4 linked regions of the Tamandua tetradactyla genome follow. The protein of the gene in region 3 binds, or shares a complex with, the protein of the main gene of each other region. Links are inferred from orthologs where the notes say so. Each region holds a gene or a part of one and is shown on either strand. Other genes may lie near its edges.

Region 1 (6,941 bases), on a different chromosome or scaffold from region 3:
CACTGACCTTGAGTGAGAGATCAGATGGGCTTTAGGGGTAATGAAGGAGGGCTGAATGTGGGGGCCACACTTGGCCCTCACAGCCCCACCCCCCATAAACTCCTCCTACCAGGTGCGAAACGATTGGCTTGATCTTCGTGTTCCCATCTGGGACCAGGACATACTGTTCCTTCCTGGGTCGCAGAAGCTTGCCACCTGTACAGGGTACCACCAGGTGAGGCACCACCCCACCCATTCTCCTGGGCCTAAGTAGCTTCCTGGAGAAATGGCTTAGCTATACAGGCTCAGTCCCCCCGGTTTGGCACGGGAGCATCTCCCTTAAACTTTCCAGCCCTACTACTGAACAAGTGACCTTCCCTTATTGCATTCTGATGTGGAATTTTCTGAACTAGGGCTCTTCCTTCCCTCCTGCTTGGAAGAGTGGAGAGCTGAAAGGAATGTTCCCTTCATACTTGGATCCGCAGGGTGCAGGTGTCATGAGAGGATCTTGGGCTGGGTGCCAATGGAACTGAGTTTCAGTCCTGATGCTGCCTCTGATTTGCTTTGGGAGTCAAGCCTGACCCTTGCCTCTAGCCCTAGGTCCCCACTTGTACAGAAAGGGCTGTACTAGGAAACTTTATGACTCGTCTCATTTGAAGTCCTGCTTTTTTGCCTTGTCTCCTTCATTCCCACACATTGAAGTCAGATCTTTGCGGTGATATGCTCTGCTCAAAACACGTATGAAGGATGCACAGGTGGTTGAGTGGTACAATGCTTGCCTGCCATGTGGGAGACCTGGGTTCGATTCCCGGCCCATGCACCCAAGAACAAAACAACAAAAACACACACGAAGCTTTCATCTCTCTTTCCTTACTCAAGCTAAACTTCTCTGCCTGAAATTCAAGACTTGTGACAATTGAACCATCTGATCCACCCCCACCCCCCCACATACATACACACTCTCTCAATTAGGGGATGCGTGGCAGAATACTCACACTTGCAGACCATTGGAATGCTGCTATACACACACACACCCACCACAACCTGGGAGACCTGTCCCCTCAACCTTGTCCATGCACATTCCTAAGCAAACCCACCCCCGCTCCTCCTACACTCGGATTTCCTGTTTGATGGGCAGACTAAGGGAATACAGACTGTGAGAATGTTCCCAGGATGCCCCCTGCCCATCCACTGGGGAGTTTCTGGACTTAGTCCTATCTTCTGTGTTCTTGTACCCCTCCCCCATTACCCTTCTGGCTGCTCTGATCACATCTAGTTCTGCCCTCCCTGTAGATGTTCTGAGAGCATGAGGCCAGGATACCTGGTGACTTTGGACAAGTCACCGCCCTGTCTGTGAGGAGCTCGAACTAGAAGAGCCTAGGTCCTTTCTGGAATATGGGAGGGCAGAGACTGCATCACCATGTTTCCAGCACTGCCTAGCAGAGTGCTGGTCTGAGAACAGGTTAGGAACATATGTGTACCTTTGAGAGCCTCAGTTTGCTCAGTCTCATCTTCACAGGTTTGTCTGGCCATCACATGGGGAAGTTGTTCTGAGAGTGTGTCATAAACATGAAGGCAGTGCTTAAAGGGGGGCTGGGGTGAGGATGTGGAGAGGGCTGATGGTTGTGCAGGGTGAAGGTTTCATGAGTGATGCTGCAGTCTTCCTCCAGATCCGTGTCTATGATCCAGCCTGCCCTCAGCGGCGGCCAGTCCTGGAGGCCACCTATGGAGAATATCCGCTGACAGCGATGACCCTTACTCCTGGGAACAAGTGAGTGAGTGTGAGAGAAGAGATGGGTGGCTCAGGAAGGACTGCAGGCAGTTCCTGCTGACACCACCTGTCTCTGGTCTCCTCAGCTCAGTGATTGTGGGAAATACTCATGGGCAGCTGGCGGAAATTGACCTTCGGCAAGGTGAGTCAACCAGGGGGTCCTTGGGAAAGGGGGTTAGCATGGGGAAGAAGGGCACGATTCCCGCTGAAGCAGTGAAGTGGAGTAGTTGTGAGCCCTCGTTCAGGTGCCAGATTGCCTGGGTTCAAACCCTGGTTTCACCAAAAGCTGAAAGACCCCAAGCAGAATGTTTCAGTGCTGCACCTTTGTTTCCTGCCCATGGAGACATGAATGGTAACTCTCATCTCAGCATTATGTTGAGGATGTAATGTTGACATGTAAAGTGACGAGAGCATTCAACACCCACCAAGTGGTGTTGACCCGCCAGCAAGCACTGATGCTTCCCCTCTTCCAGGGCGCCTGCTGGGCTGTCTGAAAGGACTGGCAGGCAGTGTCCGAGGCTTGCAGTGCCACCCTTCAAAGCCCCTCCTAGCCTCCTGTAGCCTGGACCGAGTCTTGAGGGTACACAGAATCCAGAACCCACGGGGCCTAGAACATAAGGTGAGAGCCATCCCACTGGACCTCATCCCCTACACACATACCCACCCTGCCTGACCCTGGAGCCCCCAACTTCCTATGCTTTCCATTCCTGTGTCCAGCACTTCAGCATGTTAGGTTCTTTAAGGTCTCTCATCTTTTGCAGGTTTATCTCAAGTCTCGGCTGAACTGCCTCCTCCTTTCAGGCAGGGACAACTGGGAGGTGAGCAGCTGGGTCAGGGAATGTGGGATTCAAGGGCTTCGATGTGAGGTTTTCTCCATGGAGAGATAAAGGTGGCAGCTGGATTGCAGACCGCCAAGTTAAAAGTTAGATAGTCCTGACACGGTTATTACTAAAGGTGCCATTCCTAAGAGCAGGGATGGGAATGACATCCTAGAGCAGGAAAGAAAGCTGGGATTATTTCCCAGCTAGGACCTCCTTGTGGGTCTCTGTAAGCTTTCCCCCCATTCACCAGGATGAGCCCCAAGAGCCTCAAGAGTCCAACAAGGTGGCCCCAGAAGACCTAGAGACAGATGAACTTTGGGCTTCCTTGGAAGCCGCTGCTAAGCGGAAGCTCCCGGATGTGGGGCAGAGCCAAGGGGCCCCCCAAACCAGACGGAGAAAGAAGAAGCGGCCTGGGTCTACCAGCCCCTGAAGATGGGGTACCCATTTTGTAAATAAACACCTCAATCCCCACCATGACCTGGAGCCTTTTGTGATGGGGGAAATGAGGGGATGAATGGCTTGGGCTGGGGACTCCTGGAGCCGGGGCGGCAGGACCGCTGACGTCACAAAAGCCGGGCAAGGGCCAAAGACCTGCGGGTGGGCGGGTTGGGGGGGTGGTACGGAGTGCCGGCCACGCGGGGCCATGGGCTGCTGCCAAGACAAGGACTTTCAGACTTCCAGTGATCAGGCCAGGAACGGCGACTCCATGGAAGGCGGGACAGGTGGGCCCGGAGACGCAGGAAGGGAGCCCGGGGAGCGGGGCAGGGGGCAGCCGCCTTGGGATCACTAAGGGAGTGGGACCGGTGAGGGCAGAGCGCAGCTCAGAGGCATCGTCGTCTCCACAGGCTTCGAAGGGAGCGATACGGACTCCCCGCGCCACCGGAAGCGCAAGTCGAACGAAAGCCTTCTGATCACCGTGCTGTGGCGGCGGCTGTCCCTGTTCAGCCGTCGGGGCTCGGCACGGTCGAATAAGAGGCAGTCAGTCCTCAGTCAAAGGCACGAGATTCCGAACCTGGGGATCAACCAGGAGGTGATCCAGGAGGAGCCGGAGAAGGGGTAACCCCATTCCTACTCTCAATCCGTCCCATCCTCCAGAGAATAAAATTTCGAACGTGGACCTTCGCGAGCGTTTGTGCCTCTGCTGCGGGCTCTGGGAACACCGCGCGGGCACCAGCCGGGCTGCGGGTTCTTTAAGGCTCTTCCCCGGAGGCTAGCCCAGCCCCCCCCCCCCCCGGGGGCTCCGGCACCCGCGCCTCAGGGGCGGGGTCACGGTGTCGGCCTGGCCAATCGGAAGGCGACGGCGCACGGGCGCTTGGTTGGGGGGCGTGCCTCCCAGGTCGCCCAGCCCCCAAAAGGCGTGGCGCCGCGTTCTCGTCACCGGGGGCGGGGTTACGCGCGGGTGACGTGGCGGCTTCTAGCTCCGGTCGGGTTTCGGCGGCTTCGGCCCCCACGGAGGTGGCGGTGACGGCCTGGGAGATTGTGGCAGTGGCGGCGGCGGCAGGCGGCAGAAAGGAGGTAGGATTTCTCTCTAAGAGAGGATCTGGCTGCCGGGGCAGCTCCGGGTCCGAGGGCGGCGACGGGCGGGGGCGGGGGGAGGGGAACCCGGGGGCCGAGAACCCGGGGGCCAGCGGCTAGGTCCTGCCGACCCGGCTGGGGCTGAGCGAATACCTGGTGGTCCAATCAGAAAAGCACCTATCGAGACAGACGTCGGCATTAGCAAATCAGTGGTTGCAGCCTTCCAGAAGGCGGAACCCAGCGAGGGGTGGGTGGGACTTCCTGTTTCAAATAAACACCTAGAGGTTTTCCCCCTTCGTCCACCGAAGTGTGTCCCCTTCTGAGGGCTGGTCGCCGTTTTTCTGTGAGGAGTCAAGGAGCCTAGGACAGGAGAGGTCCCGGTTAGGGCCTGGCACACCTCTGCGGGCTGGGCTGGAGCCTCAGAGCCTGGGGACCTGCCTCTTGGCCCTGTCTCTGTCTCTGCTTCAGGGCCCCCAGCCCCACGCTCTGGTCGCCAGAGTCGAGTTGAAAGAGTCTGAGGAGGGGACAGCTTGGGCCGGGTGGGAAGTGGGGCCCTTGCCTCTGCGAGCCGGCCCCAGGATCTACGAGTGGCCTTGTGGTTTAAAATGCTTGCCAGGTTCAGAAGGAGCCGGAGGATTTGTTGGTTGGGGGTGGGGGGTGGGGGTCATTTATGGAAGAGGTGGCTCCCTGGAGAATGACTCCTTTCCCTCCACAGCAGTCCGAGGTTATGCGTCTCAATGATCCCCCGGAAACGCTACGGGTCTAAGAACACGGATCAGGGTGTCTACCTGGGTCTCTCAAAGACACAGATCTTGTCTCCTGCAACTGCTGGAAGTAGCAGCAGCGACATCACCCCTCTGCCCCCCCCAGTGGCCCTGATCCCTCCCCTTTCTGACACCATGTCCTGCCGGGACCGGACCCAGGAGTTCTTGTCTGCCTGCAAGTCCCTTCAAAGCCATCAGGTAAGAACCTGGAGTGGAAAAGATCAGGGGTAAGCCTTATTTCTGAATGGGGCTGTGCTCCAACACTATTAACTAAAGTCATTCTTGTGGGAAGCTGATGGACAGCTCCTAATAAGGCTTGGATGGAACAGTAGGGTCTGCTAAGAAACAGAGGTTAGCAGGCGGGGGCTTAGACTTTTTTGAGAAGAACCTCCCTGATGATAGGGTTGCTATTATGGGGGGAATACCTCAGGGCCAGAGGTGCCTGCAATATACTTGGTTTGGCCAAAGAACAGATTCTAGACGGAACTTTTAGCTAGCAGTCATATACCTTGAACTCAAGTTCTGGCCTAGTTCTGCCACAGTTTTCCTTTGTGACTATGGGAAAGTTAATTAATCTAGTTGGGCCTCAATTTTTCTAAAATTGAGTGTCTAAAATTGAGTGTCTAAAATGAGGGAAGCTTTCTTAATCACTTTAGAGTGCTTGAAAAAACATTGTCTCAGTCCGGCTCTGAATCTCGGTGGGACTTGGGTGACCATTTTTAAATATTTTCTGTGTCCAGCTCTGGCTAACAACTGCTCTCCTATGTGATTTCCAGGGGCTTTCTAGTTGTGATACTCTTTGAGTCCCTGATTTGAGGAATAGAATGGCAATACTTGCTACCATTTACTTAGTACCTTACAGTGAGTGAGTTACATATTTGACTTAAGAGCTTTACAGCACTTTCTGTAGCAGCAAAAGAAGGTAGAAGGATTGTCTTCGCTACATAAAAGAGAAAGTAGAAACTCAGAATGTTAAAGTAACATGACCAAAGTCCTTCATCTAGTAAGTACTAGAACCCCAGTCTATGTGTCTTCAAATCGGGGTTCTGTACTACTGCTGATAAATCTGGATTGGCCAGCCGGGGACCTGAGCTCTACTAAGAGAGTTTAGTGGACAACCTGAGGAACACTGAAAGCTGGAAGTGGGGGAAGGGGAGCTAAGGTTGTCACCTCCTGACATTGCTTTTCAGAATGGAATCCAGACAAATAAACCGGCTCTGCGTGCTGTCCGGCAGCGAAGTGAATTCACACTCATGGCCAAGTGAGTTGAGAAACCATCTGCTGGGGTGATGTGTCTGAGGAAAAGTGGGTTTGTCTTTGGTGGCCTTGTCTGTGAGGGTTGGGGTTAGTTGCGCTGGAGCTAATATGGAGTTAGGCCCTCTCCTACCCATTTCCGCAGTGTTTTCACTAATGCTTGTTTGTAGGCGCATTGGGAAAGATCTCAGCAACACATTTGCCAAGCTGGAGAAGCTGACAATCTGTGAGTGTTTTTCTTGGGGTCTTTCCAAGGTGGGGCAGTGAACCAAAGAGGGCTCAGGAACTTTACTCCCTGAGCCCTGTCTTTGACCTGTTGTTCCTTCTCATTGTCTCTGCAGTGGCAAAGCGCAAGTCTCTCTTTGATGATAAAGCAGTGGAAATCGAGGAGCTAACATATATCATCAAACAGGTGAACTTCTATCCATCAGGAGAGCCCAGCAATCCAGTTAAACCACTTTCATCATTATCCATTGCATAGAAGCTCAGAGTACATTTCTAGAGCTACCTCCACGCGTCTACTGACACTGTAGACACTTATTGATTACCTGTTATGTATGAAGCACTGTGCGGGACTGTTGACACAACATGAGGCAGGACTCCTGCTGTCAAGGGCTTATTGTCTCGAAGAAGTTACCAGCCCCGTAAATATACTATGAGTATATTTATGAGTAGGAGGCAAGTGGTACAGAAAAGATCTTACGAAAAGTTGAATACTACAGCTGGGAAAGATTTCAGAAAGGAAATGAAATGTGAGTAGTTTTCAAGTCTTGTAAGAAAAATGGAAGGACAATCCAGTCAGAGGAAGCAGCATGTGCAGAGGTATAGATTGAAAAG
Region 2 (7,824 bases), on a different chromosome or scaffold from region 3:
ATATTGTGAGCCACTGATTGTATACCATGTATGGACTGTATGTGTGTGAAGACTTGTCAATAAAAAAAAAACAATTTTAGACTTTTCCAACTTGAAAACCATGATGCTCAAATTTCTGGCATCACATGAAAAGATTAACTTCCTTCAGTTTGATTTTATAAACTATCTATGAGGAATCAAAGTATTTACAGATATCTTCCCTTTTTTTTTGGATGCATGGTCCAGGAGTTGAACTTGTCAGCTTCCTCATTACATTAAGGACCTCAGAGATTATGTACATATGTGAAGCAGTTAGTAGAGTGACAGGAACACTGTAATAGTGTAATACATCTAACTATAATCAATCTTTCTCATTAGCTACCACAGGAACCCAAATGTTAAGAGAGTATAAAACAGAGCAATTGAATGATGTCAAAAGGTAATTTCATTTGTATGAACCCTAAATTTATTTTTCTAAGATTGCTCAGAAGTTTGCAGTTTACACATGGGAGAAGTAACATTTACGAAGTTCAAGCGTCTGCATGGTTTCCTCACTTTTTTCCTTAGTTTAGTCATTAAACCACATTTCCTTGCACCGCGTGTTAAACCACTAATTTGGTTTATTCTGTATCTGGTCTACTGGGGAAGCTCTATTTTCCATTACTTTTGTCACAGCTCGTTGCAAATTCAGAGCTTACATCTAATATTCGATGACATTTGTTGCAAAGGAAAATGGTTTGCTTAAAATTAAGGCTTAAAACCCTTGGTTTTGGTTCCTGGTGACTGCCCATGCAAACAAACAAATAAACAAACAAAAACAAAAAAACCCTTGGTTTTTTTGCTAAACTTATGGAACCATTCCCACATTCCCAACTCTTGCCTATGTTGACTGATTTATTGCACCACTGCCTTTTTAAATGGGAGTTTAAGAGCCCTGATTCTATAGAACTATTAAACATTACCATCATGGAATCCCCTGATACTGTGTCAAACTTTAGGGACACCCAAATCAATAGGTCATGCCCTTGATCCTGAGGCTTACTCTTGTGAAGCTTATGTAGGTAGAAGAAAAGCTTCAACTACTTATAGGCATGGCTAAGAGGTACTTCTGGAGGACCTCTTTTGTTGCTTAGATGTGGCCTCACTCTCTCTAAGCCCAACTCTGCAAGTGAAATCATTGCCCTCCCCCTACGTGGGACATGGCATTCAGGGATGAAAGTCTCCCTGGTGACATGGGAGATGACTTCCAGGGATGAGTCCAGCCCTGGCACCATGAGATCAACAATTCCATCCTGACCAAAAGGGGGAAAAGAAGTGCAATTAATAAATTATCAGTGGCTGGGAGAGTTTAAATAGAGTCAAGAGGCTACTCTGAAGGTCACTCTTACGCAAGCTTCAGTTAGACATTGCTACCTATCATAACTTGCCATACCCTAACCAAAACCATTTCAACCAATCCTAAAGAACACCTAGGGCAATATATAAAATTCTACAAAGGTTCCATGCACTAGGGTAACTTTCCAGAAACCTACAGCCTCCAGATGGGTCCAGATAAGTACTGAAACCTAGCCCAGCCTCTCCAGAACATCAGATAGTTCCATCTCCCTACCCCATATTAGTGACAGACTCTTCCAATATGAAAAATTTAGAATTGTCATGTCCTACCCACCCCTAAAGAAAGGGATGGAAAGATCAATGGTGATGGTGGAGTTTTACAGAGACAATAGGATTTAACAAATGAATATGAATGCTGAATCATTAAATTGATGTCTCTTTTAGTCTCCAGTATTTTAGAGCAGCTAGCTATAAGTAAAAACCTAAAATTGTGGAATTGCAACCCATGTCAAACTCTGAAATATGTTCTACAACTAATTGTGGAGCTGTGCTTTGAAATCTATAGCTTTTTTTACATACATTATTTTTCACCAAAAAAAAACAGAGGGAAAAAAAGTCAATTGTGATGATTAAAAAAACTTAAGCCCTGTAGCCTCCTATATTCTGGAGCAGCTAGAAGGAAAAATATGAGAGGATCGTATGGTAGCTCATGAAAAACTCTGGAATCTGTCCTGTAACTACTTGTTGAAGAGTGCTTTGAAAACGACTGCTTTTTTCTTTCTTTGTTTTGTATATATGTTATATTACACAATAAAAAAGTTTTTAAAAAATTTAAAAAAAAGAACCCTGATTCTGGCTTAAGGCAAAATCCCTCAATTTCCCCATTTACTAAATAGAGGGGAGGAGACTCTCAAGATCCTTCCATAGGATGATTTTCCCTGTCCGGATCCCAGTTTTGACACTATCTGCCTTCTGATTCAGGCCTTAGCGCTTTACTCAATTTCCTCCTTTAAAAAAATCACATCTTGGGTCCAGGCTACACTCATTTCATCCGGCATGTCCCTTGTCAAGTGCGCTTCGGGATCACGGGGCACCAGACCCAGCAAGGCAGGCCGGCAGGGGGCGGCGCTAATAGCCTCCCGGACCCTAAGAAGTGGAGGATGGAGGCGGGCACCGGGAGGCGGGGCCTAGCAGCTAGAGGGAATAACAGAGTGACAGGTGTGTTGTGAGGTGTTCAGGGGCGGGGCAACTATCAGGGAAGACGTGGAAGGGACCAAACGGGGGTTTCAAAAGGGATGTTGAGGCAGGGTACACAGAAGTGACTGCGTCAGAAGAAGGAGTCTTAGGGGTGGCAGGAAAGAGGGCGAATCAGCGGTACCCGGATGCAAGATTAAGGCCAACTGTCACGGGGACTGGACCACAAGAGGGTAGACGACCACGGGGCGGGGCCAAAGGCCTCGGAGATTAGACCAAGTGTTAACAGTTCAGGGCTGAGACCGCCAAACCCCCAGGAGGCCCGCGGAGCTTGGGTGGCTGGAGCCCAGCAGGGTTCCCGGGAATTAGTACCTGGATAAGCGCCTTCACCTCCAGGTCGTATTTGACAATCTCTTGATTACAGATCCGGACGTGGACATCTTGAGGAGCCGCCATGTTCGGGACGCGGGCTACGGGCGTTGATAGTGGCCAAATATAAACGCGTTTGGCACCGCCTTCTCTCCCTCCCCTTGCGGCAGCGCCCCCTAGAGAGCGGCTTGAGCCGAGCCGGGGACTCCGCGCGGAACGGTAAGGGCGGGGTGAGAAACCGAGGTGGGCGCGGGAACGTCCAGCGCAGAATCCTGAGCGGTTCGCCCAGGAACTAAGACGTCGCCCGACATCTGGGGAAAACCAGCCTCATCTCTTGCAATGACCAAAATAAGATAGAGAGGAAGGGAAGAGGGACTACATACTGCTGGCTTAGGAAAACTAAAAAACTGAAAGAAAAATATCAATTAGGATGGCCTGGGGGGGGAACGAATAATTGCTTATATTTCTTAAAATTTTTTTGTACTTTTCACACGTTCTACAGTGAGTATAAATTGTAGAGTACGTAAAAGAAAATGATAAACGTTATTCTTTTATTAATGTGTGGAATTCAAGGCACTTCATTCGTGTACCTCTTGTTTTTCCAACCCACAGCTCGAGGGGTCTTTCTAAAACGCAGAACTGATCGAGGCACTTCCCTTCTGTGGTTCCTGACGTTCCCTTTTGCGTACGATTGGATTTATTAAATCGACCTCACTGGAGTAGTTTTGATGGATTTAGCAAAATATTGTAAGAGCAGGCCCTCAACAAATAGTGGCACTCACATTTTATTTTTATTATTACTAAATAGTCCAGGTTTCTTAGCGAGCCCTCAAGGCTGACGGCCATCACCCTATCCCCCATTCCTGGATTCCTCAAGCTCTTTTTGGACCTGAAGCCTTGGAACATGGTATCCTCTTCCTAGAATGCCTAGAATTGGCTAAGAGTAGATTAGAAACCTGCTGCAAGGTTACCCGAATTGAAAGTGGCAGGGTCTTCACCAAAAGCCACAGCTTTGCTCAAAATCACATATGGCTGCTTGGGTAGGGCTGTGCAAACCAGGCTTCGTGCTGGTCCACCGTGCTCCTTCAGCTCTGGGCACAGCCCTCCCTTAAGGGGAGCCCTTCATCACCTCACTGCACCTAAAGGAAGCAGTGTAAAGTAGGCCTGGGCATTGCCCACTCACATTCCTCTGTGCCTCAGTTTCCTCAGTGGTGATAACCCTAGCAATTACTTCACAGGGTAGGTTTGATGATTGAGATAACATGAAAAAAAGCACCACTGCATTTGCCTGGTATAAGAGATGCAAGCATGTTAGCTCCTATTATTATATTACTAGATGACTTTTTTTTTCTAGTACTTTCTACTCAGCCAGGCTCTGAGTACTAAGTACTTTATGTGTATCATCTCCTGGTAACCCTCACTGTAACTCCATGAGGTAGAGCTTTTATAGACTTTACACATTTTACAGATAAGGTAAAGGACAAAAATGCATAATAAGTTGCCCAAAGCCACAGAGCAAATAAAACTTGCCAGGTCAAAGAACATATGCATTTTAAAAATCCGATACATGCTACCAAATTGTTCTGCATCAGGGTAGTATCAATTTACACTCCTACCAGTGAAGTGCTAGTAGAAATGCCTGTTTTCCCACATGGTGTGTTAACCAACATGTGAATTAAGTGAAAAATGCATCTTTTGATTTGCATTTCTCCTATAATGATTGAGGTTGAGGCCTTTTCCCTATGTTTAAAAGCTATTATTTATCTTTTGTCTGCTTTTCTATTGGGTTTTTGGCCTTTTTCATATTAATTTCCAGGAACTCTTCATGTATTAGGAGGCTATCCTTTAGAGATGTTGCGAAGCTTTTTTCTTAGTCTACAGAATATTGACTTGGTTGACAGTGCTTTTGACCATAAACTGGTTTTACTTTGACCATAAACTGGTTTAAAACCATAAACTGGTTTTAAAACAAAAAAGTAAAAAAGTGTTTTTGTTTTACGTAGTGGAATTTACTTATCTACATTTATGGCTTCTGGATTTGGGGTCCAAGTTAGAAAGGCCTTCCCTAACCCTGGAGGTTTAAAGGAATCCTCCCACATTTCTTTGTAATGTTTTTATGGTTTCGTTTTTTCCTTTTAACATTTAGCTTTTAATCCATTTTGAAATATATATTGGCTTGTTTTGTGAAGTATACAGATCCAATTTTACTTTTCCTTGATGTTATCGAGTTATTCCCATACTATTTTTTTTATAATGAAGGTTTATTACCAATACTAATAAAAGTCTATTTTTATTTCCCCAAGCTCCATATACATATTTCTTTCATAATTATGAGCTTAAAAAAAGATGTGAAAATGTGACCCATACTATTTACTGAAGAATCCATCTTTTTCTCACTGGTTCTGAATGCCACGTTTACTATACTAAATTTTCATATATATTTGAGCCTATTTCTAAATTTTCCATTCTGTTTTATTCTCCTATCTATTCTCTCATGCACCAACATTACACTGTTTTAATTATACTTTTATGTTTAAATATCTGGTAGGACTAAACATCCCCCTCACTTTTTTTTTGTCCCAGCAACTTCCAGCTACTCCCCTCTCCCCACCCCACAGGAACTTTAGTTTTGCTTTTCAGACCCTACTAGAATGTGTCATTGGGGTGACACTACATTTTTTATCTCACTTAGGAGGACTGACAGCTTTATGATGCTGACTGCTTCTGCTGAAGAACTTGGCATATCGTCCCATTTATTCAAGTCTCCTTCTGAGTCCTTTATAGTATCTTAAATATTTCTTTATCGAGACCTTGTACATTTTCTGCTAACTTTATTCCTGGTGATGTTAAGATTCAAACCTTTTGAGGAAACTGAGGTTAACATTCTTCAGGCCACTTCAATATTTTGGATCCCAAATGGAAGCTCCCTATTAAAACAGCAGAGAAGCCTGAAAGCCTGCAAGGTGAGGATCTCCCCACATGACCTTGGACCCCTTTCACATCATATTTTTTGCTCTAAACTCCTAATGCCAGCAATAGTTCCCAAATTGCATCTCTAGGCAGCAACTAAAGATTAAGAAAACAGCTCCCACCTAACAAAGAGACTCAATTTTAAGTCCTCCTTCTCAAGGCCATCTTTGCAGAAGAGGTGTGCCATCTTGTGACCAACACCCTCAATCACTGACTACTCCCAATGTTTTCTCCCCCCCCACCCGTCCCCCACCTGCCCCACTGTCATCTTTATCCACTCATTCCTGAGACTTTAGTTAAAACTTTTGCTAGGCTTTGGCTTTAGTTCCTTCTGGTTTTCAGATTCATCCTCCTAACTTTAAAATATCGTCTGTGACTTAGTCTAGTGCTTTAGATACGAGTTATTTCAGACTGGAGTTTGAGTTGGGGCTCTATATCATATTAGCTGGGTCTGGGGCAAGTGACCTCCTCCAAGTCTAATCTGATTCCTGTGGTTAAAATGGATGTGACTACCTGCCTCACTGGGCTGTTGACAGTAGCAGCTGAGGCTTCTGATGGGCAAGCAGCTATGGGGGTCTTAAAGAATGTCACCCCTAGAGCCCAGAGTTTTCTAACATCTTCCTATTCTGAACCTTTTTTTTTCTTTTGTACAGGCAGGCACCAGGAATTGAAACCAGGTCTCCAGCATGGCAGGCAAGAATTCTGCCACTGAGCCACCGCTGCACCACCCTTATTCGGAACCTTTTAACTGGGCTGAGACTAAAGAGTTCATATGGCTCTGAGATCACTAGCAGTGAAAAGAAACAACTGAATGACCCATCTAGGAAGGCAGTACACGTTGAAGTGCCATTTCTAGGCACTATACTAACCTTAAAGTTCCCAGGACCACAGCAGAGGATCCTGTGAGTGGCCCTGAGAGGCCTGAAGTAGAACCAGACCATGGGAGGCCACGTCCACTTTGCTTCCTGATGACCCCCATGCACATGAAGCCAAAAGGGCTTCTACAGGGATCCAGGAACATCAAGAACACAAGATTGGCAACTGGATATAGTACCTGTATCTTTGAAAACACCTCCGCTACAGTAATTCTACAGCCCTTGGCATATGTGTGGCAGCTCTTGTATTGTTCTGCAGTCCTGTTCACATGCCATCTCCTTCAGCAGAAAGAGTTCCTGGAGGGCGCTATAAACTCTGTATTCAGGTACCCAGCACAAATCCTGGCACAGTAAGTGCTAAACAAATGTTAGCTGAAGGATTACATACTGCTACAGTGGTATTCACTCAGGTTCCCTGCTGGAAGACTTTATACATATGCCTGGCCTAGCTCGGGGCCTTATTTTGAATTATTAAACAAACACATACAAAAGTTTAAATCAGGAGACCCAAAATATTTTATTTTCCTCCAAGAGAAATCACTTGCCCAAACCCTCAAAGAGAAATAAGTATAAACTATAAACTCATGCTTTAAACTATAAAGAATGCAAATGTTTGATGTCAACAAATGATTTTACATAATAGCTAAATTTCTCTAAAGTATTTAAAAATCAGCCCGGGGTGGCAAAAAATTGTTAGCTCTTTGGACCCTACCAGGAAAGGGGCAGCAGGATCAACAGTGCGTTGCTCTCTTTATTTTTGTATTTCTTTGCAATGAGTTATCTTGAAGAGCAGTGATGCTTACCTTGGTAAGAAACAGAAAAGCAAGAGAGAAAGGACAGGGGAAAACATGAGGCAAACAATTCAAAACCTTTTCTTTTTGTCTTTTTTTATTTTAAATTACAAAGGATGTTGCATACACTGATGAATCTGTATCTGACTAGAAGTGCTTAGGGGTTGGAAAGTGACAGAAAACAAAGGCAACATATGGATTGCCTTTTATTCTGAAAAGAAAAACTGCACAACTATTAACCAACATTTAATAGAATAATTTTTAAACAGCTCATGCGTCAACAAGATAAAATTCTTTCTAGACAAGAGACA
Region 3 (7,807 bases):
GCTGTGCTTTGAAACTTACTGCTTTTTTGTATATATGTTATTTTTCACAAAAAAAAAAAAGGAGAAAAAGTCGATTGTGATGATAAAAAAAATATTTAAGCCTTCTAGCCGCCTATATCCTGGAGCAGCTAGAAGGAAAAATCTGAGAGGATCATATGGTAGCCCATAACAAACTCTGGGATCTGTCCTGTAACTACCTGCTGAAGAGTGCTTTGAAAACTATTGCTTTTTTTATTTCATTGCTTTGTATATATGTTATACTATACAATAAAAAAGCTAAAAAGAAAAAAAGAAGCACATCTAAAACAAGGTCATGTATTGATTGAGGAAAAGTGAGTGACTGAAGCCTCACAGGAACCTAATCCCAAATTTCCCCTCAGGGCAATGTATTCACTAAATTAAATATTCCCTACTTCAGTATACACTGAGACTTTATACAACGTAAGTACCAAAAATAATGAGAATCGAATGTATTTGTTGAATGTCTGCTGAACATGACAGCTTAGAGGCCAGTCAGTAAGCCTGATGCCAAGATTTTAACAGGCCCACCTAGGACCTTAGTCATCTCACACAATGACCAAGAGTCTTTGCTCCTCCTAAAAAGCCCACTCTGGGCTTCTGCAAGGCTGCTTTGCCCTGCCTTGTCCCTTTCCCTGAATCCTTACATATTGTGAGTTCCTTCCTCAGGGGCACATCTACTCTCTTGGATTTAGCCACCCTCTTTCAAGATGCTCAAATTTGTCCATCTTCAATTTGGTCTTTTTGCTGAGTTCTGGGCCCACCTACTTCAATCCTGACTTCTAGCAACCCCAAAGCAGTCCTCGCTGGGACTGCAAAGGGACTCTGGTCAGATCCCTTCAGAGCCCCTTACTAAGACATTCAGTGACCTTCCCCAGCATGAAAGTTCCTCTTTCTGACTTCCTGAATTTTGCCCATGGATTTTCCCTGTCACATGGACTGGAAACCTCCCAGAGATGACCTTTTACCTTGGGCAGTGTCTTTAGCCACCAAGTTCTACCCCAGTAACATCTTTGTTACCTATTCAACCCTTAACTCCCCATCTGAGCTCCTGGAAAGTACATCTGCCACAGCTGAGCCTCACTGAATGGAGGAGAAGAAGACAGGGTGTTAAAATATTTCAAGCATCAGGAGTCCTGGGCTCTTAACCTTGGGTGAATCCTTTCTCTCTCTTAACCTTAGTTTCCCCAATAGAAAAATCATCAGATGGGATTCAATCTCTAATGGCCCTTCCTTCTCACTTCTGCCACCTAATAATCTATTGAAACACTTGGTAAAATAGCCTGGTTCTGGGAACAACAAACCCACCTGGGTTTTTCTCATCCTCATGTTGACTGAGTTATAGTTGTCATCAGCTTCCTCCTGGGGCTCTATGGCTGTGGGAAGACACAGGAATATGGGGGGAAAGAGGGATTGACTTGTGACTTCTGAAGATTGTTTGGGGACCAGAACACAAGGCCAGGGCCATATTCCAGTTACAAAATTAGTGATCTACATAGATTTTGTTAGGGAAATATAATTTAGCACAAAATGACTAATTTTGGGCCTCTGACAGGAGAAAGTGTATTTTTCTTTGCCACGCATCCATGAATTCCCACAGGTATGCAGAGGCCCCCCTAACAAAACCCCTACCTGCTTGTTCAAAGAATGCACAATGGACAGAAAGAATTGTAGGAGTAAGTAGTTTCATTGCAAATAAGAAAATCCCAGGGCAGCCATGGGCTGTGGAAAACGCATGGGACTTGAAGCCAGTAAACTGAACTTCTAGACTCAGGCCTGTGTATAAAGTGAATATATCACCAGCAGCTCTGGGCCATCACTCTCCTGTACACCACAGGGCCAGAGAAAAGGATCTGAGGTCCTAGAAGCTCACCCTTCAGCTGTATCTGGATGTCCCTCCCCAGCTCTTTGATTTCATCCCGCAGGTTCTGCAGGTCCTGCTTCATACCTGAACAAAGAGAAGACCATGAACCCCAACAGCAGTCTATACCACAACAAACCACTCTGGCCACCACCTGCGTGGAACTACAACCCCCACAATCCCACAAGTTGAGCAAGCGCTCTGCACTGGAGTTGTCACTCACTCTTTTCGGGAAGGGGCGTGGCCAGGATGGTGACCTGCTGCTTCTCCAACTCCCGCACTTTGTTCTCCAGTTTGACAATAGTCTGCCGAATTGTGCGGACCTAAGGAGGGAGACAGAGAGGGCTGAAGGAGACATGGGGTACTCCAGACTGCACGCTGCTCGTCAGCCCCGCCCCAACCCCAGCCTTGCCCCCTCGTGAAATACACGCCGAGGCCCCAGCTTACCTTCTGGAAGAATTCTTCGTCCGGACTTCCCAGCCGGGCCGTGCCCGGGTGCACCACCAGCGCGATCCGCAACTTGTCCTCATCGTCCGAGCTGTCATCCCCCTGCCAGGGCCAGGGTCATTAGCACCACTTCCTTTCTGTCGCTTTTGCCCCGCGGGACCCACGGCCTTCCGGGTGTTTCCTGCCAGGCCATCAGCCAACCCCTTCCCACCTCCTGTCCTGAGGTCCAGAAGTCCTGCGTTCCGGCCAGATCCCACCCCGTCCTCCCGCCCCCAAGCCTGCTCCCCCGACTCCTCACCTGCCTGAGCTCGTGGGTCCTGTCCCGCATGGCGGCCCGAGCTCCCTTTGCCCGGCGCTTGAGCCCCGTGGGCCTCAAGTTCTGAGTCTGGAACTCCCGTGTCCCTCTCGCACCCTGACACTCCCCTGTTTCACTAAGAGGACCCCAAAAGCCCCACTAGCCGCCAGAGGCCCCACCCCTTGCAACGTCCACAGCCAATGGGAAGGAGCCGGCCGCGGGGACCCCCTGGAAGACTCCACAGGTTGGAATTCCCTCCTCTTCCCCGCCCCCTCCACTCCCATAGCCTCGGCCCCACCCCCTGAGCAAGGATTCGGAGCATGCGCACGAGGATGCGTCTCTTCCTCGCCGGAGGGAAAGGGCGGAGGTCGGAAGCTGTAGTGCCCTGAACGGAAGCGAAACTGCGCTAGGTGAGAGCCCGCCTCCTTTACCCGAACCAGCTTCCATTGGAAATTCAGTTGCCAAAATGGGTGGAAATGCGTCATTTGTACGTAATCTGAGCGGTCCCGTGTCTCACATCACCCCATAGTGCCCTCCTCGTCACGTGACCGGCCCGGTCCCAGCACCGTGGACCGCGGAACGTGATGCTCCAGGTGTCACGTGTCCCGGTTCTCTGAATGCGGTCCCTGGGACACCCTTCACCCCACGACGCCCCTGGGACCCCAGCGTCCGGACTACGCTCCCACAGCCCCTACAAGCTAAGGCTGCGTGTGCGATTGGGAAGAGGCGCTGACTATCCCCAGAACCCTTTGGAAGCAGTGGGTAGTAGGACTCTTGTTCAGTCCGTTTTTGTTTTTCGGGGGGGCGGGGTCCAGCGGTTTGGGCAGAGACTGCCAACTTCGAATTGGGGGCTGTCAGCATCATGGGACTTTGAAAATCAGAGAATAATAAACTCCCAGTTTTCAACGTCAGAGAATTGCAGGGTTTTCTTGGCAGAGGTACTGGGGGTGGGAAGTGACCTCACCCAAGGCAGAACTCTCTCCTTCCGCAGACTCCTGGCACAGTCTCTGACAGGTGGGTGGCCGGACGCCCTGCTTGAACACCGCAGTCCCACTGCACTCACCACCTTCTGAGCAGCGAGGCCATTTAGGGGCAGCTCAGGCTAAGAAAAGCATCGCGTTACCTTGAGCCCTCTACTTCCCTGCCCCTTACACCCCATGCCCACCTCATGCTTGGTTCTACCCCCTGGGATCACCGAAAACTGCCCGCTTCGGACCTTACTGTAGGCTATGAACTTTCTAGGTTGAAGTATGACTGCCTTTTCTTAACTGAATCCCCAGCGCCTAGTTTAGTAATTACACACATAATGAACCCTGTGTAAATATTTGTTGATAGGATTTTAGCCTTTCACATGTCTGAAGATGATATAGCTTATGGTTCCCTGGTCTCTTCCTTTGGGTTTCAGACTCTCTCACAGTAGCACTTCCCTGGCCCTGGACCTCTAGACATTGATTTGTGCAACAAATATTTATTGAGCACATACTATGTGCCAGGCATTGTTCTAGGAATACATCAAGGACGTAGCAGACAAAAATCCATGCAATCAAGGAGCTTATATTCTATGAGAGGAGTGCCCAAAGCCAATCAGTGAATTTCAGCACGGCCAGGAGCAGATCTCAGGACTCCTGGATCCCAGGGCTCTTCCCAGGGAACTATTATTTGAAGCCTGAAGCAAGGAAGGGATGGCCTCTGTCTTCTATGCTCTGGTCAAGAGACCTGTATTTCTGTCATTGAGTGACTTCCGGCTTCTGGCAAGTCACTTTTTATCTCTGGGTCTTGATCTCCCATCTGTTCAATGGGTTAGCAAAAGGGGGATATCTCTAAAGTTTGCTGATTATGAACTTGGAAACTTCGAAAGCTGTCTGATTCTATGTATAGGGCTTTGATCGTTCTCTAACCTCTAAAACCCAGCCTGGGATTGGGAGTGAGGGAGTGAGTATGATAGTCCTCATCCATCCACAGGGGTAATGAGGATTGGAGGGCCTGGAGATCACAGAGAATTTCTCTGCTCTTGGGTCTTGTAGGTAATTTCCTGCTTCAGTTAACTGCCACTTGCCTCTTGCCTCCCTGTACCTGTCTACACCCCCACATACCCCACTCCAGTCTCTTTATTTCTCTCTCTCATACTCTGTCTCTGAGTGGTTCAATGGAAAGGCTTGTGGGCAGCTGACTTCTAATCCTGTGTGTGACCCTAAAGAATTCATTGTTCCTCTCTGGGACTCAGTTTCCCCATTTGACAATTTGGTCTGTTAATTTCTGCCTTGCCTAGGGTAAGAACTGGGAAATATCAAGTGAGGGGTTAGGAAGAATGAAAAAGGGTCTTGTGAACTGTGAAGGACTGCCCTCCTCTCTGGGCTTCTACTGCTGTGGATTCCAGCTCTCTCCCGTCCCACCAGTCCCATTTTCCACCTCTCTGTATCTCAGTCTCTTGATGACTTTCTCAGTCTCCAAATGCAATCTGGAGTTGTTGGTGCCTCTGTTAAACTTCTCAGGATTATGAGATTCATAATTTCCTTTGGTCTCTGGGTGAAATGGTGACCTAAGGTCACAGGAGGCTGGGCTTAAGGCCACATGGGCTCATGTGTGGAGGGGGCAGGGGAGCAGAGGCCATGTGGGGAGCCTGCCATTTATGTCCCTAATGCTTTGGGGGTTGGGCCCTCCAGAACTGAACACTGATGTTTATTTTATGCCTCTTTGTCACTCTTCCAGGCCCACTGAGCAGCCTTAAAGCTGGGTGTGTGTTAAATATATTGGGTTTGGTGCCTGTAGGTGTTGGAGTTGGCCCTACCTTGTCCTGAGGCTGAGTAGCCAGTCCCGTTCCCTCTACTCACAGGTCCAGCCCTCCAGACACTGGAGCCAGATGACCTGGGTTCAAATCACAGATCCATCCCTACTAACCCTGTGACCTTGCTAGGCAAATTACTTAACCTCTCTATGTGTAGTACACCCAAACACATGGAGCCCAGAATGGGAATGAGGATTTGTAATTGTGTATAGCTTAATGTAATACCCAGATTCATCCCAGAGTATGCTGAGCAGATAATTAAAAAGTATTTGCAAAGTCCCTTGAGGGACTGGAGAAAAGATATGGAACTATTAAACTTTAGCACTAGGGAAACCCCTGATACCGTCTCAAACATTAGGGACTCCCAAATCAATAGGCCAAGCCCTTGATCTTGAGGCTTGCTCTTATGAAGCTTATTTCTGTAGCAGAGAAGCTAAACCTACCTATAGTTATGCCTAAGAGTTGCTTCCAGGAAAGAAAACCTCTTTTGTTGCTCAGATGTGGCCTCTCTCTAAGCCCAACTCTGCAAGGAAAACCATTAGTTTCCCCTTACATGGGACATGACATTCAGGGGTGAAAGTCTCCCTGTCAACGTGGTACATGACTCCCAGGGATGAGACTGGCCCTGCACCTTAGACTCAACATCTTCCTGACCAAAAGGGGGAAGACAAATGTAACAAAATAAGGTATCAGTGCCTAACAGTGTTCAATAGAGTTGAGAGGCTATTCTGTATGTTCTGTATATTCTGTATGCAGGCTTCAGCTAGATATTGGTAATTACCACAGTTTTCCAAGCCCCAACCAAAACCATTCCTGTTAACCCTAAAGAAGACCTAGGGCTCTATCTGAGATTATACAAAAGTTGCATGCACTAAGATTACTATCTAGAAACCTACAACCTCCAGATGGTTCCTAGGCCAGATAACTCCTGAAACCCAGGGCGTCTCCAAGAACATCACCTAGTTCATCCTCCTGTCCCATAATGTCGACACCCCTTCCCAACATGAAAAAGTTAGAATGGACATAGCCCAAATACCCCTAAAGATTGAGAGAAGGTTCAAAGGAGAAGGAGGAGTTGTAACAGAGAAGATAGGATTTAACAAATGAGTGTGACTGTAGAATCATTATATTGATAATTCTTTTAATCTCCAGTGTCTTAGAATAGTTAGAAGGAAAAACCTGAAATTGTGGAACTGTAACCTGTACCAAACTCTGAAATCTATTCTATACCTACTTGTTACAACGTACTTTGGAATTTATTGCTTTTTTGAATGTATGTTAGATTTCACAATAAAAAATGTTTGAGAAAATGAAAATAGCAATAGTACTTGCATCATATGGTTGTTGTAAGGGCTAAATGAGATCATATATATGAAGTGGTTAAAACAGTGCCTTCTACAAAATGAGTGCTGTATAATGTTTGCTGCTATTATGTCACGGTGATGAAAATGATCATTACTCCAAACATTTTATCAGCTCCAGTGTCTCCACCAGGGATTCTACGCTGCTGCTTATCCAGTGTCTTCATTCCCTTTTCCATCTTCTGAGCCCTACTCTGCAGCAGGTCGTAGGCGAACAGCCTTACCAGCTCCTGCACAGCTCTCATTCCTCAGTTTGGAACTAACTGTATTATTTATTATTTTATTTTTATTATTATTATTATTTTTTGACATGGGCAGGCTCCGGGAATCAAACCCGGGTCTCCAGTATGGCAGGTGAGAACTCTGCCTGCTGAGCCACCATGACCCACCCCCTACTTGTATTTTATTAGTCATATATTTTGTTTTTCATTTTGTATATTGTCTGTCTTCACTGGCCTCCCAAATAAAATGCCTAGAATGTAAAATTTTCACCTGCCTTACTCACTGCTGTGTCCCCAGGACTTGCAATAGTGCCTGGCACAATAAATGTCCACGAATGAATGGAGTTACTTATTTTTTATTTTTATTTCTTTTTAATTAAAAATTTCTTCTTAAGTTTTAATCCTTTTAATTTTATATTTACATAGTGCTTACTGTGTTCCAGGCACCAGTATAAGTGCTTTATAACTGCTAATTCAGTTCATCCCCAAGACAACTCTATGAGATGGTGTGGTAGTTAGATTCAGTTGTCAATTTGGCCAGGTGAACGTGCCTAGTTTTATTGCTGTGAACATGAGCCAATGGTACGTGGACCTCATCTGTTGCTCATTACATCTGCAGTCGGCTAGGAGGCATGCCTGCTATAATGAATGATGTTTGATTTAATTGGCTGGTGCTTAAATGAGAGAACTCAACGTAGCACAGCCCAAGCAGCTCGGCATACCTCATCTCAGCACTCGTAGCTCAGCCCACGCCTTTGGAGATGCAGAAAAGAATCACCCCAGAAAAGTTGTTGGAACCCAGAGGCCTGGAGAGAAGGC
Region 4 (7,094 bases), on a different chromosome or scaffold from region 3:
ATAGAAAAACTAGTTTCAACAAAATTTTATTAAGCTTAATACAACCTCTACATCAATGCAGTGAGATGGAAATATGACATCAGGCATACATTTTGTTCAAAACAAGGAACAGAAGGCCTGGAATTAAAGTAGGCAAAATGTATCTTTAAAATGATAGGAAATGCTTCAACAAAAGAAACAAAAACAAAACAAAAATGATAGCAAATGCTTCAAAGAAGGCATTTAACCAAAGTCATTTCTATAATTTGCTACATTTCCTCTGGTCTGATAACCAGTTCTAAACCTGTACTCCTAGTACTAACCAGACTTTCATGTAAAAGGAAATCTATCCAAAACAATATTAACGACCAAACATCTGACACACCTGATCATCCCCCCACTAGCTCTATACTAGCTGAACTCTTCCGCAAGGAGGAAGAGTGAAAGAGAAAGAAATAGTCGCAAGAACAGTTTCTTACAACTGCAATATGAGAAAAAAAAATTCTTCCAAAGAATGCATGTTTTCCCAATATCAGAAGAGGCAGTGGCCCTGAACAGCGCAGCTCATGTCCCTACTTGACAGAAACTCCACAACTTTACACCTACCCTCATCATTAAACATCAATGGAATGTAGTCTCTCTGACAAGCAAAGTTCTTCTCAAACATCCCTAACTACCCCTCTGTTTAAATAACTCCAGTAGTAGAAACCTGTCACTACTTAACCATGCCCATGAATTCAAAGACTGAACTCTAGTTCTCACTACTCAGGAAGAGGCCTGAGGGGGCCTCAGTGACCACAGGGCTCTTCATCATGCTCACAGACCCTCCTGTGCTTCTTGTCCCTACAAGAGCAGCAACTCAACTCAGATCAGCATGATGTTAATACACTGGTGATTGCAGAGGTAGAGGGGCCCTCCAAAAACCAAAACTGCGGTCTTCAAACCACAGCTCCACAAGTGGTAGCTCAGGAAGTGTCTGGGCAAGATTGCGGGGGAGGGAGAGGGAGAATAGCCTGGTTTCCCTTCCTTTCACCTCAACCTGAGAAGCTCCCATTTGATCTGTCAGACCTAGAGGGTAATGCGGTTTTCAGTCTCTTGCTGTTTAAGGGGAAAAAAAAAAAAAGAAGGGGACCTACAGGTAAAGAAATTGTGGTGATAGTTGCTGAATAAGCCTTAAGTGGCTAATAGTTGCAGGGTTAAGAGGACAACCAAGTCCCTTGGCTCCTTCTCTAGTGCTCCTTCTCCACTAAGATCAGATTGCCTACGTGTAAAGTTCAAGTTCAGCAGTCATATACAAGGTCCTTCAAGAACTGCCCCTACCTGTCATTCCAGGCCAAATTTCCTGGGGGTCCCACATTCCAGCCACACTCAAATGCTTATCAAACCAGCTGATGTTAGTTTGGCACCTACCTCAGTGACTTTGTGCATACTGTTCTCTCAACCTGAGAGGCCTTTCCCTACTCTGTCTGTCCTGGAACCAGCCAACTACTCTTTCGAGATTGATTTCAGACATCATCACCTCTTTTAAGCCTTTCCCAGCCCTCAGGCAGAACTGACCACCTTCCTTTGTGTCTTAGCCTTCTGTCACAACATCTACTAAGCTTTATGGCACTTATTTTTGTTTATATGCCTATCTCCTCTACTACTCCTTTTACATCATGCCACTCAAACCAGTGCTTTGGTCTGGATGTACTCATCTGGTCCACTTTCTCTTCTGATGCCTAACTGTCCTCTGCAACTGCCAGTCTTAATTCATGAATACATATATTCATTCAAAAACATCAAGTGTTCACAAAATGCTAAGTATTGGACTGTGTGCTAAGCAGAGGTGGACTTATCAGGAAGCTAATGAACCTGAGGTTTCAGGGACTCCCACATGCACTTTCCAAAGCCCTTAGGCTACTTTTTCCTTCTTCTTTTTTTTTTTTTTTTTTGGTAATTTCTTATTTGTATTTCTGAAAAAGGGCAGATAAAATTGTATAAATAAAAACTAGATCCAACCTTGGTGCCAAGGATACAAAAGTGAACAAAGATTTTCTCTCTCCTTATGGTGTTTCCTGTTTAGTTAGAAAGACAGGCAGCCATTTGTTCATTCATTCATTCATTCATTCAACATTTAGTAAGCAATGCTATGGGCCATTCCGAGATGAAGCCAACAGTTTCTGCCCTAAAGGAGAAAGCCCCTGCTCTTATGAACGAAAGGCTGCTGTGTTCAGGTAACAGTAAGTAGTTTAGACGACTAGAACATGGAATATTTGTGAAAGATTATCCAAAACCAGTTTCGAGATGTGCTTAGCTTTACCACGCTCCTGAAATACTGGGGAAGGCAAGGGGAGGGGAGGACTCAGCTGAAAGAAACGTGGTCTTTGATCTCAATGCGAGGGAGGCGGAACCAGACAAGCAAAAAGAGGCAAATACAGTGTAGTCAGGGCTGCGTCGGGGAAGCAAAGGACTGTCCGCCGTGCCCGCGAACTCATTTTTTCACAAAGCAAACATTGCACTTAGAGGTTGCCGAGTGCCTTCTTCTTCCAAAGAGAAATCTGCTTCCTAGACTTCCCCAATACTTACATCCAGTCCCCCATATAAGGCTGCTCCTTTCTGAAGGCAGCTGTCCGCACTCATACCCAACTCTCCGGTTGAGACACCCCCACCCCCACCCCCACCCCGCGGTGAGACCACATCTTTCAGGCGTTTCCTCCGCACAATGCTAACCCGACAGGGTCTCACCGCTAAGTCGCGGGTCCGCCTCCCTCGTCCGCCCGCCGTCTCCATAGCAACCAGCTCACCACTTCGCGGGCCCGACTGGCAAAGTCGCCCTTGGCCCGGGAGCTCCGGCGGAACAGCTCGTCGCGGCTGCCATCAGCCCCGCCGCCCACTGCCACTCCCAGCGCCTTGTTCCGCGTCTTCACGGTCTTGACGCTGGCCCGAAACAGCAGCGTGATGTCCACCGCCATGGCGACCCACAACCGTGGCCGCCACCCGACCCGCTCACGTCAGCAGCCGGCGACCGCGACGCGAGCCTGGCAGCCGGAGGGCAGTTCCCGGCCCGCACACTTCCGCCCGGCAACCGCGGCGCGGGGAGAAAGGTTCCGGGCTCGGGCTGCGCGCTGGAAAACGCCCCTTTCTCCTCCCGGCAAACCCTGGCCGCCTTGGCAACGCCAGGGGGGCCGGGGACCCCGAGTCCCCTGTACCCCAGGAAGCAGGAAGGCTTGCTCCCTTCTCGTGGCTTCCGCATTGAGCGAGCCGGGCCATGTGGGCCTCGCTGGAGGGACCATAAGGGGAGCTGGCCTTGACATTTGACCTCGAGGAATATGCGGGAATGCACGTGGATTTTGACCCTCTGGAAGCATGGAGGGCAGATTGGTGGCTGAGGCTCGGACATAGAGGCCAGAGGCCGTTTTTCTCCAGCCTTCATTATCGTAGCTGTGAGATGAAGCCAGCCCCCAACTTCAGTATTATTGTGAAAATTAAATGATATAGTGTACTGTGTAGGGCTACTTGGCCCCTTATAATGGCCAATAAATATTACTTGCAGCTTGCCCTCGCCCAGCACAACCCCGAGACCAAAGACCACGCCAGGCAGAAAATTATTTATGCGTTTTAAAGGAGAAAAATTTCTCCCAATGGTTGGGAAATGGAAGTCAGCATTTTGTGCAAAGGGAAGAGGAGTGCCAAGAGGATGGCTTCTAAGGTTCAGCAGACTCTTGCGAGAAGTCGTTACAAGTAGTTTCAGCAGAGTCCTGGGAGGGTTGATTACCACTAGTGATTAAGGGAGGGGAGTTTTAATAAATGTCACCCAGGCTGCTACATGTTTCCGTAGTGGAGGGGGAGGTCCCGACCCCTGGGTTGCCACAATCCACTGCCCCTGAAGTAGTATGCATCCATATTCCACAAAAACAGTGTAAGAGGCTACAGAACATTAGGAGGTCCACAAACTGATGCTGTCAGGCCAAGAAAGGGAGTTACATTATTCTACTAATAACTGATAAAAACCTGTGATTTCATTCGTTCGTGAGAAGATTCTTTTCTAGATTTTCCAATGTTCTGAATTCTGTCAGGCCAGCAGGGTATTCCATGCAGTTCATTCCCAGGGGTCACAGTCCAAGGCAAGCTGGTAACACCCAGCAGTGGCAGTTCAGCACACACTCAGCATTGAGATTTATCGTGCATGTAGGTTACCACAGAAGCCTGTTGCAGAAAGGTATTTGCTGCGATGCTAAGGGCAAAAAGAACATAAGCCAACTTTCCACTAGCAGACAAATACTACATCTTTTCCCCTTGCGATTGCAGGAGCTTTCTGTGGTCAGATTCACAATTAGCCTGAACATACTACGTGATAACAGAGTCCTACATACTGTGCCTTGGGATATGAAGGGTCTCGGGTTGGTTACATATACAGCTTTGGCCTTTTGTGTATAAACTATGGCCTAACTCATTAATTTTGGGTGACCCCAATACCCCATGGGCTTAGGATTCCCAACCAGTGCGACTACATCATCCAGGACCATGGCCAATTGACCTTATTTTCCCCAGTTTCTAATGCTTGTAGTGCAGCAAAAGCAAGTTATTTTCATTACCTTGTTATATCTGTAGTGTTGCTGGTCTTTTTTGTACCTGAATTTGCAGTATCTGCACGGGCCCTACCATTACCAGTTCAGCAGGGGCGAGGGCAGCTGCTCTGGGTCCTGAATCAAGGCTGAGGAGGACTGGATACAACTGACACGCCCAGTGTTGCAGAGATTGTTTGTTATCGTTTAATCACTCTTTTAAAAGCCCATCATTACCATGTGACTTGGCAATCCCTTTTCTGGGAATAGTCCCCCAAAGAATTGAAAGCAGAGACTTGAACAGGTACTTGTACACCAATGTTTACAGCTACATTATTTACAATAGCCTAAAGAAGCCAGAAACTTTGGATTTTTATCTTAAGTGAATGCAAGTGAATACAATAAATATATATATTTAAAAATCCCATTCATTCTTTCAATCAATCCCACTGCTGTGGGATTGTAAGTCAAATGAAATATTCATAAGATGTCACGTTAAGTAGCCAAGTTTTGGGTTAGTTGTCCAGTTAAGGGGGTCCCTCCATCAGTGTCGACATGTGTGGAGACCCCAAAGAATGCACTTGGCTTTTCTAAGCTATGTATTGTATCTCTTTGCTTAGCTTTATCTACTGGAAAAGCCAGCAGCAGTCCAGTGGCGTTATCTACAGCTGTAAAAGCTTATTTTATATATCCAGATAAGGGAAGGGGCCCAGTATAACCTACCTGCCACCCGGTGAGCAGAATCTGCTCACAGCCAGTGTGACTGAGTTGATGAGGAAGCATCCTTGAGCATCGCAGCAAACAGGAGGAGCAGATGTTCACAACTTCTTTCAGTTGCCTGGTGATGGGCAGCTGGAATTGCTGTACCAGGCTTCACAGGGTCTGGTACCCTGGGTGTTCTATTTTTTATGAAACCATTCAGCAGCCTCATGCAGTGTTGGCCTTCGGCTATGAATTTTTCCTAATTCAATATTGCCAGGTAAAGAATTAGTGTTATGGGCAAAGATATGAAACACAGTTACCTTTCACTTGTGATAGTCCAGATATCTGGCCACATTTCTTTTCCCCAAAGGGATGGCCAACAACAGTCCATTTCTCTTGCTTCTACATGGCCATCCACATTGTCAGACCTCGGTACATGGCCCAATTGTCAGCACAAATAGTTATCCCATCTCCAAGTTCGTGAAAATGACCATCCATACATCCCTTAATTCAGCGCATGATAGTCCCAGTTTCCCACCCCATAGTGTGTTTGTACTAGGTTACACAGTGTGCTTGCTTGAAACTGTTATGTGCCCCAGAAAAGCCATGTTCTTCTAATCCAGTCTTGGGCATGCTGACCTCTTGGGGGTAGGATCTTTTGATTGACTTGTTTCCATGGAGGTATAACCCACCCAATTCAAGGTGGGTCTTAATCCTTTTACTAGCGTCTTCGATGAAGAGAATAAAAGGCAGAAAGCATAGAGAGAGCTCAGAACTGATACAGAGAGCAGAGAAATGGCAGATGCTTGGTGACAGAATTGCCCCGGAGATGCTATGCAAGGTCCCACAGAACCTGGAGGACCCAGAACCTGGAGAGAGCCAACTGAAGCTAAGGGGTGAAATGCAGAGTTTGCCCCAGAGAAGCTAAGAGAGGGCCCACAGATGCTTAGAAAGAGAAAGCAATGAACTGGGAGCAAGGACTAGCAGACACCAGTCAGGTGTCTTTGCAGCTGACAGAGGTGTATCAGTTGCTGAAAACCTTTCTTGAGTGAAGTTATCCTTTTGTTGATAAATCCATTGGGGCATTTTCACAGCTTTAGAACTGTAAATTTATAACCTGATAAATTTCTTTTGTAGAAGCCAGTCCATTTCTGGTAGATTGCATTCTGGCAGCTTCAGCAAACCAAAGCACATGCCTACTGCTATCCAGGTGGCAGGCTGCACGTGTGCTCCTCCGTCCGTATACCAGGCAGACTCAGGTATACTGCCACATCCATCAACAGTGGGCACAGAGACAGCCACCTCGGGAGGATCAGCAGGGAGGGGTAAGTGTTGTTCTTCCACATAGGAAACTGATCTCAGGATATCATGCATTTTACACTTGTGAAGCTGTTGTTGAAATGCTGTGCTGCTGCAGAGAAGCTTTCCCCTTTGTCAATGTGATTAACTGTGTACTGCCAGAGTAAGGCTTAGAGGCAATGTCCCGAATCCACCCCTGTATGGGGGATGGCTGTTCTTAATTTCACAGAGTATTTCTGAGTTAGTCCTTCTACTTGCAGTAAGGCATTATAGGCTGCACACAGTTGTTTTTCTAAAGGGCTGTGTGCCGGTTTGAAATTATTATGTACCGTAGAAAAGCCAATCTTGCCAGAGAAATTTCTTTTAATCCTGATTCAATATTGTGTGTAGAAGCTTTTGATTAGATTATCTCCATGGAGCTGTGACTCGCCCAGTTGTGGGGGTGACATTTGATTAGATAGATATATGACTCCATCCATTCCAGGTGGGTCTTGATTAGTTTACTGGAATCCTTTAAAAGAGGAAACATTTTGGAGAGAGTCAGAGAAGGCAGAAATGACAGAAACC

The links.
Region 1: STX4 (region 3) and STX5 share a complex: the UniProt entries of both Homo sapiens proteins name them as parts of the SNARE complex. The link is inferred for Tamandua tetradactyla from reciprocal best matches to the Homo sapiens genes STX4 and STX5.
Region 2: STX4 (region 3) and BNIP1 share a complex: the UniProt entries of both Homo sapiens proteins name them as parts of the SNARE complex. The link is inferred for Tamandua tetradactyla from reciprocal best matches to the Homo sapiens genes STX4 and BNIP1.
Region 4: STX4 (region 3) and STX18 share a complex: the UniProt entries of both Homo sapiens proteins name them as parts of the SNARE complex. The link is inferred for Tamandua tetradactyla from reciprocal best matches to the Homo sapiens genes STX4 and STX18.

The regions. Positions count from the first base shown.
Region 1 is NC_135335.1:11,753,730-11,760,670, forward strand, and holds the start of STX5 (syntaxin-5), read left to right. Parts: upstream 1-3,936; 5' UTR 3,937-4,086; intron 4,087-4,342; exon of another isoform or gene 4,343-4,466; intron 4,467-4,801; 5' UTR 4,802-4,823; coding exon 4,824-5,048; intron 5,049-6,040; coding exon 6,041-6,111; intron 6,112-6,274; coding exon 6,275-6,330; intron 6,331-6,445; coding exon 6,446-6,516; intron 6,517-6,941. Other genes in the region: WDR74 (WD repeat-containing protein 74), read left to right, coding at 113-214, 1,650-1,750, 1,837-1,892, 2,224-2,369, 2,512-2,568, 2,822-3,001; TEX54 (testis-expressed protein 54), read left to right, coding at 3,215-3,293, 3,417-3,631. UniProt on the Homo sapiens protein: Mediates endoplasmic reticulum to Golgi transport.
Region 2 is NC_135346.1:54,589,643-54,597,466, reverse strand, and holds the start of BNIP1 (vesicle transport protein SEC20), read right to left. Parts: upstream 3,010-7,824; 5' UTR 2,965-3,009; coding exon 2,881-2,964; exon of another isoform or gene 2,539-2,880; intron 1-2,538. UniProt on the Homo sapiens protein: As part of a SNARE complex may be involved in endoplasmic reticulum membranes fusion and be required for the maintenance of endoplasmic reticulum organization. Also plays a role in apoptosis.
Region 3 is NC_135349.1:23,489,948-23,497,754, forward strand, and holds the start of STX4 (syntaxin-4), read right to left. Parts: upstream 3,019-7,807; 5' UTR 2,655-3,018; coding exon 2,625-2,654; intron 2,429-2,624; coding exon 2,327-2,428; intron 2,203-2,326; coding exon 2,103-2,202; intron 1,967-2,102; coding exon 1,892-1,966; intron 1,395-1,891; coding exon 1,327-1,394; intron 1-1,326. UniProt on the Homo sapiens protein: Plasma membrane t-SNARE that mediates docking of transport vesicles. Necessary for the translocation of SLC2A4 from intracellular vesicles to the plasma membrane.
Region 4 is NC_135345.1:8,488,830-8,495,923, reverse strand, and holds the start of STX18 (syntaxin-18), read right to left. Parts: upstream 3,019-7,094; 5' UTR 2,934-3,018; coding exon 2,766-2,933; intron 1-2,765. UniProt on the Homo sapiens protein: Syntaxin that may be involved in targeting and fusion of Golgi-derived retrograde transport vesicles with the ER.